Linked DNA regions of Nothobranchius furzeri. The protein of the gene in region 1 interacts with the protein of each later gene in a pairwise test. Links are inferred from orthologs where the notes say so. Each region holds a gene or a part of one and is shown in the gene's direction. Other genes may lie near its edges. The genes, in order: id1 and myf5.

Region 1 (3,289 bases):
GAGCCCTAAAACGGCTCATTCTGGAAGGTACTGAAAATGTCAAAGGTAAAACTGCTGAGATTGCTTCTGTGAGAGGGATTTAATGGAAAGAACATGTTTGGTGTCGGCCATAGAACAATCGAGATACGACCCTTTGAGTCTTCATGAAAGTTGAAACAGTCTGTGGGACTTTAAAATGATCTACCTGCGCCCTGAAGAGTCATACCAGCTTTGGTCTTTTGATCTTTAAAACAACATAAATAGGTAAAGTGGATGACAATAAGCAAAACTATTTTCTGTTGATATTCTGAGAGTTCAGCCTAATAAAACTTTTGTTTGTAGAAGTTTTCCTTCATCTTTAAAGGAGATCTGGGAGCTGAGTGGAGCTTCAGGAACCACAGGGACAGATTTAGTAGTGAAAGTGGGCTGACTGGAGGAATCCAGCGGCTGTCTGTGTGAGAATGTGGTAACATCATAATAAGGAGTCCTCCTCCTCCTCCTTTGTCGCTCCGCTGTTACCCGGCTGTCCTTTACTCTGCAGGTGCGGGGCGGTAATCTCATCCCGCCGCTTTAAGGTGATAAATGGAGGAGAAAAGGTTCCAGAGCCAGTTTGTTCTCAGGATCCTCCACGCAGGTGAATGGAGGAGCGCGAGCTTCCTTGTTTGACATCTCCACAGAGACCGCCCGAGCGGCGCCAGGCTGACAGGCGTCAGGGCTCGGATGAATGGGTGACGTCACCACGCTGGCGCCTGCCAGTCTGCTCGGGCTTGTTTGGACAATCTGGGAGGAGGGAGGGAGTGATGTGATCTGAGTGTGCACACATGTGAAGGAATCTGCTGCGTTCTGGGAGAATAGACAGTTTTGAGTTCTTCTGCTGGACACATTTAATGTTTAATAACCAGGGAAGTGAAATCAAGCCTCGCCCCCAACAGGTTCACCTTCACCTTCCCCGGTTACTGTCCCTTTGTCCGCCACATCTGCAGCACCAACTATTGTGAGAAGCAAATCTGGGGCACTGTGGTAGCCTAATTGTCAGCGCCATTCATCCCATTCACTCCGTCCCATCCCACACACCCTACCCGGCATGCACCGCCCACCCTCCGTCCCCAGGCAGTCTACACCTGCAGAGTACCCAAGCCGCGGACAGCTGGATTCCCACATATTACCCATAAAGACACACATTTGTTTCCATTTGTAACGCCATCCTTCTAACAGATTGTAAAGTCTGATAACCAGTCGCGCATCCTCATTGGCTGAGAGAGACGCACAGCACCGCCCTGTCAACACAACCGCACATCTCTCATTGGTTGACTGCTTCAAACTGGACCGCGCAGCCACGCCCCCTGCTGCTGCATGCCTATAAACCAGAGGAGGTTCCTCCATGTCAACTAGACAACTGTCAACACTGACTGAGAAGATCTCTGAGAGGAGAATACTCTTGACTTACGCCTCCTAATCAGCACAACATGAAGGTTGTTGGATCTACCTGTGCCCTGAAGACCAAGGTCGGGGGAGAGATCGGCCTGTCCGAGCAGAGCCTCGCCATCTCCAAGTGCAAGATCCCGCTGCTGGACGAGCAGATGAGCGTCTTCCTCCAGGACATGAACAGCTGCTACAGCAAGCTGAAGGAGCTCGTGCCCACCCTGCCCACAAACAAGAAGGCCAGCAAGGTGGAGATCCTGCAGCACGTCATCGACTACATCTGGGACCTGCAGGTCGAGCTGGACGAGCCGGAGAAGAGCCGCCAGCACGCCGTCAGCGGCGCGCCGCGCACTCCGCTCACCACGCTCAACTCGGAGCTCGCCAGTATCTCAGTGGAGGTAAACATCCAGTCAGTCACACCTGTGGTAACATACCTGCGTGGCTTACGTTTAACGTTTAAGTCGATGCGCAACATGCGTGCGTAAAAGCTGGTTCGCCATCTGTGACAGATCATAGATTCAGTGTGTGTGTGTGTGTGTGTGTGTGTGTGTGTGTGTGTGTGTGTGTGTGTGTGTGTGTGTGTGTGTGTGTGTAGACTACATGTTCTAACCTCCTGGTGTTTTCCTTCTCCTTCCTGCAGAACGGATGCTCGGACGACAGGATAATGTGCCGCTAAGATCCAGTGGAGCACCTCCCCATCATCCCACCGTCTGCGCCCGCCAACCAGAACCGACAAGGCGACTTGATGTGAATCCACATCTAAATCCTGAGCCTTGAACTGTGTAGGGACGTTTGAAACTCCCAACTGTTAGAAAAAGGACATCCTCAGGCCGAGATGGTCTCAACCAGCTCTCGATTCCTCCGAGGGCTCCTGGGACCAGAGGAGCACCCGTGGTGTCCAGATGCAGAAGACCGGGTTAGTCCGGGGGACCAAGACAAGTCCAGAGCAACCAGCGCTGCTCGTAGAGTTTTACGTCTCTGTTACACTCTGTATAATCACGTGTACATCATATACAGATCTCAATATTTTGTGAAAGGAAAGCTATTTCTCAGATTCCTGAGCGACCAAACTGTATTGTATATTACAATGCCACATATGTGAAGATATTGTTTCTTGCAATGTACTTTATTTGCGTTTTTATTAAAACAAGAACACTATTTTTGAACAAGAATGCCCGTGTTGTGTCTGTTGATATGAAACCAGAAGGAGAATGAGACAGATGATGTAGTTCTGAGGCTAACTCTGACCTCTGCTGTCAGAAGCTGCAGTCATCCAGGTGCCACCAGGCTTCAGCTGCAGGTAGACTAACATAAAGGCTGTGCGGGTCCCTACAGCACGGTGTCAGGTCAGGGGGAGAGTTTGTCACTAACCAATGCATTAATTTCAGACGTGATAAATTAAACATTAGCTCAAGCGTTCATAAAATGCTCGGTTTAGGGGTAAACACCGTGAAGCGGAGTCCCCGCCGGCTCCGCGGGGGTTAAAGCGGCTCTGGTGTGGAGATTTATTCCGTCTCCCTGGTGCGATGTTTTTCCCATTTCCCTGCGGTGCGATGCGCACAGCTGCAGCCCGGCGTGGCCAGTGCGTGATTGTGTTTGTGTGATAGCTTTGTGCCAAGGGCAGGGGAGGGCGGCGGGGCCCAGACTGAGCGGCGCCGCGGCACACCTGGGGAAGTTCAGGTTAAATAGCTGCACATTCCTCAACACACAGCTGATTGAAACATTAACAAACAGTAATCCACGGGCCAGGCCGCAGATGGGCCGGGAACCGGGCCAAACACACACACACACACACACACACACACACACACACACACACACACACACACACACACACACACACACACACACACACACACACACACACACAGGGTAGAGATTCCCACAC
Region 2 (4,035 bases), on another chromosome or scaffold:
TCAGAGAGTTCCCAAGAGACCAGCCCGGGACACGGATCACATCATCGGCTCTGTGCGCACTCATTGCGCCACTACAAGCAGGATTATGCGCCATGTGCTGCGCCAATCAGGACCAATCAGCTCCCGGTTGATGGCAGGTTTTCTCATTGAAGACGTGCTTCGCAGCCTTTGATCCTCTCAGCGGAAACGAGCCGCCGATGTCTTCTTCAGCTGTGCCTGCAGCCAAAGTCCGCCGAGTTGTGCGGACGCAGTCGCGGCCGCTTCTGGTGTTTTCTTAGGTGCGCAACGTTCCCATGCAGGGAGAAGGGGTTGCGCCAAACGTTCTGACACATTGTGAGAAAATATCCGCATTGTATCCTTGTGAGCTGTCAGCAACACGATTACCTGCAGGAATGTAAAAATACGTTTAATTCCACCTCATTTTGTAAATAGTCCACAATCCTGGTTTTTGTTTAATGGAAGGTGTTTATAAAAACATTTTAGTACAATGATAAGTTTATTTTGCATTAAAAATGCAAATGTGCAAAAAAAAAACACTCGCTTAAAAATAAACTTTTAGGGGCTAAATCGTCTAACGGAAGGTAAAATGTGTATTCACGAGCAATAAAAATAAATAAATAAAAATATAGACGAGTTGTGTTTTTGAACAAATATTCTGTACGTGGTGCTCTTTAAAAATATACATTATCTTCAGCTTTATGTCAAATGTTTTTTAAATATTTCAGTCAGCAGAATGAAAACTAAAATGTCTCGATGTAAAATCAAATAAAAAAACATGATGAATCTAGTTTTGTTTGTGTTTTTGTTAGTTTGCCCTCTGGAAGCCCCTCGGATCCCTCCTCGTCCACGAGGGTCACCGTGGTCTGTCGGTGCCTGGCTTGTGTCGGCGACGGTTAAAGTTTGGTTCGAGGTCGGACGAGCCGCCCTGACATTTGTGTGATTGCTGCTTTCATGAGCTTCAGCAAACACGGATCACCTCTCAGATGACAAGCGTGGCCGTTCAGAGGGGGCTTGCCGCCGTCCTGTGAATTTGCGGGGCTTGAAATGTTACACCTTCCTTTGCAGCTGGGCCGCATCTGCAACGCTGTTGTCTCCACCGTAAAAATTGGCCTGCATGCTCCTGCGAGGGGCCGGTCTGCTTTTCTGCTCAGTTTGAACAAATTGCACTCTCTGTTGTAATTATGTCTCCATAACAAAGTGTCATCTCAGTGGTGGGGGCCCAAAACCCGGCCGCTTACAGATGCAACCGGCAAAAACACAAGACTCTGGTTCTTTTTTAACCCCTTGACCACAAACTCCTGAAACATTCACTGTGACCTCGGCAGAGAAGGGCCGGAGAAAATGGGGATGAGTTGGAAAACGCCAGTAAGTGCAGATGTGAGAAACTCTGCAGGGTACTGGGGGGGTAGGGATGGGGCAGGGAGGGAGCTGATCTAACTCCAGCCTGCCTTCTGGCTGGGCCAATGGGCCATGGTAATTAGATCCGGCCAATGTAGGCCCTGGGCTTTAGCCAGGGGGCATATAAGGGGGGCCTGGGGCAACAGACCCCTCATATCACTCAGAGGTCTCCTCTCTTTCACCCAGCACCTTTACCCTCCTTCCTTCCTTTGTGCTCGTCCGTTCAGACTCACTTCTTCACCAAGCCATGGACGTCTTCTCGCCATCGCAGGTCTACTTTGACAGAGCGTGCGCTTCGTCTCCAGACAGCCTGGAGTTTGGTCCCACCATGGAGCTCGCCGGCTCTGAGGAAGACGAGCACGTCCGAGTTCCTGGAGCCCCCCATCAGCCCGGACATTGCCTCCAGTGGGCTTGCAAGGCCTGCAAGCGCAAGTCCAGTTTTGTGGACCGCAGGCGGGCCGCCACCATGCGCGAGCGTCGGCGGCTGAAGAAAGTCAACCATGCCTTTGAGGCCTTGAGGCGCTGCACCTCGGCCAACCCCAGCCAGCGCCTGCCCAAGGTGGAGATCCTGCGCAACGCCATCCAGTACATCGAGAGCCTGCAGGATCTTCTGCGAGAACAGGTGGAGAACTTTTACGGCCTACCCGGAGAGAGCAGCTCTGAGCCGGGGAGCCCGCTGTCCAGCTGCTCTGATGGCATGGTAAGACCTCTAATCCTCATGTTCAAACTCTCTAAGCAAACATCTGGTTGAGCTGAAGCCCACAGCTGCTAGATACGCCTGTGAACCCAAGACTTCATCAGTTAAAGAGGGCGGGAGTGCTTCCTGCCAGCAGAGCTGTGCATAATCCTGTAAACAATCATCTGATCTGCAGCCTGGAGAGTTTTTAGTCTGATTTTGTTCCGTACTTCCTGTTTGATGGTTCGTCTTTGACCGTATCTCAGACAACAGAGTAACATAATTCAGCCTTCCCACCACTGAACGCTGCATCGCACCAATAAACCAAACTAAATCCACCTCACTGAAAAACCCGGGCGCTTTTCTGCATTCCATCCTGACTGCATGCTCGGCACCGCTGCCAGGATTTTCTGCAGATTTACTCAGAGAAAGTGTCATCTTGCACAAACTGGTGTTGCTTCCACTGATACAATCGATTCGCCACGCTAGGATTCGGCCGGGAAGGGGGGGTTTGGAGGAGCGGGGAGCGTGCACCGCCACTTTGACTTTAAGATGGATGTGAAATAAAGAAGCCAATAACTTTGGAATTTGGGATTTATTGGCCTGTCCTGACTGACATGAAGACTCGTTTTGTAGTACTTTTTCCTGCCTCGGTCCGTTTGATGTTTGCGTTAACGTGTTCTGTTGGTGTGTTTTTGTAAGTTGCAGCGGTGCGAGGGTAAATTTGATCTCTCGTGTTCTTACAGGCTGGAGGCAACAGTCCTGTGTGGCAGCAGCTGAATGCAAACTACACACACAGCTATTCCTATGGGAAGAACGGTGAGAGCCTCTGATGTGAACGTGTCGGTGAAATATTCTGTGTCTGTTTTCCTCTGGAGGTCACACAGAAACCAGATTTAGAAGAGAGAAATTTTACAAATTTGCAGCTTTTTCTTCATTTTTAGTCAATTAAGATGCTTGAGAGCTAAAACTATCCCTAAAAAGTGATGTGAATGTCTCATTTTCATGTTTCAGAGAGTTTGGATGACAAACCAATGGGCACCTCCAGCTTGGAGTGCCTGTCCAGCATCGTGGACCGCCTGTCCACGGTGGAGTCCAGCTGTGGACCTTCTGCCCTGAGAGACATGGCCACCTTCTCCCCCGGCAGCTCCGACTCTCAGCCGCGCACACCCGAGAGCCCCGGAACCAGGCCCGTGTACCACGTCCTGTGAAGCAGGGCCCTCGCTCTGATGTCATCAGACGCCAGCTGCGCTTGCAACCAAACCACGGGAAGCAGCTTTCATGCGACGCAACAACCATCGTTAAATACTGTACATGAGACTGTAAATATGTAAAATAAGGCCTGTTTATTCCCCACATGCTTTAACGCTCCACTGAACATATTTGATGCAGTGCTGAATTATTCATAAATGATTATATTTAAACAAATTTTGACACTCCTTTGTTTTGATTGTTGGTTATTTTTATGTTTTTGTTCAAAATAGTTGAAAAGTTAAATTTATTTCTTGAATTCATGCGTTTCTTTTCCATGAAGTTTCCTTTTTGAGCCAAATAAAGCCGAAAGATGGTTCATCAGTCTAATCGCTGACAGCAGACACAATCATTAGCATGATGATAAATTGGAGTCTGTTGCAGATTTCAAAATAAAAGCGCAGGTTATTTATTATGTCCTCATCTTGGCTGTAAAGGGATCACATCAGAGGTCAGCTGATAATATTTATCATTTTGCTGCAAATTCACGTGGAACTTTGTGAATTGTAGGTTTTTAGGATGAATCAACCAACAAATGCAAACATTTAAGTGATCTTTGAGCTTCTCTGTGTTTTGACGTGTTGCTGTGTGTTTTCCCACTTTTCTCCACCTGTTTGTCCTTTCCTACCAAATGTGAGTCATCATTAACACCTTTGATTGCACCATCAACACCCATGTGGAGAACAGATGGCCTCTAATAGTACTTATTA

The links.
Region 2: the proteins of id1 (region 1) and myf5 interact in binary tests that used the Homo sapiens proteins (3 or more experiments, as listed by UniProt). The link is inferred for Nothobranchius furzeri from reciprocal best matches to the Homo sapiens genes ID1 and MYF5.

Annotation. Positions count from the first base shown.
Region 1 is NC_091743.1:40,070,768-40,074,056, reverse strand, and holds id1 (DNA-binding protein inhibitor ID-1), read left to right. Parts: upstream 1-1,345; 5' UTR 1,346-1,445; coding exon 1,446-1,799; intron 1,800-2,041; coding exon 2,042-2,077; 3' UTR 2,078-2,573; downstream 2,574-3,289. UniProt on the Homo sapiens protein: Transcriptional regulator (lacking a basic DNA binding domain) which negatively regulates the basic helix-loop-helix (bHLH) transcription factors by forming heterodimers and inhibiting their DNA binding and transcriptional activity.
Region 2 is NC_091741.1:40,949,140-40,953,174, forward strand, and holds myf5 (myogenic factor 5), read left to right. Parts: upstream 1-1,532; 5' UTR 1,533-1,645; coding exon 1,646-2,098; intron 2,099-2,820; coding exon 2,821-2,893; intron 2,894-3,088; coding exon 3,089-3,285; 3' UTR 3,286-3,489; downstream 3,490-4,035.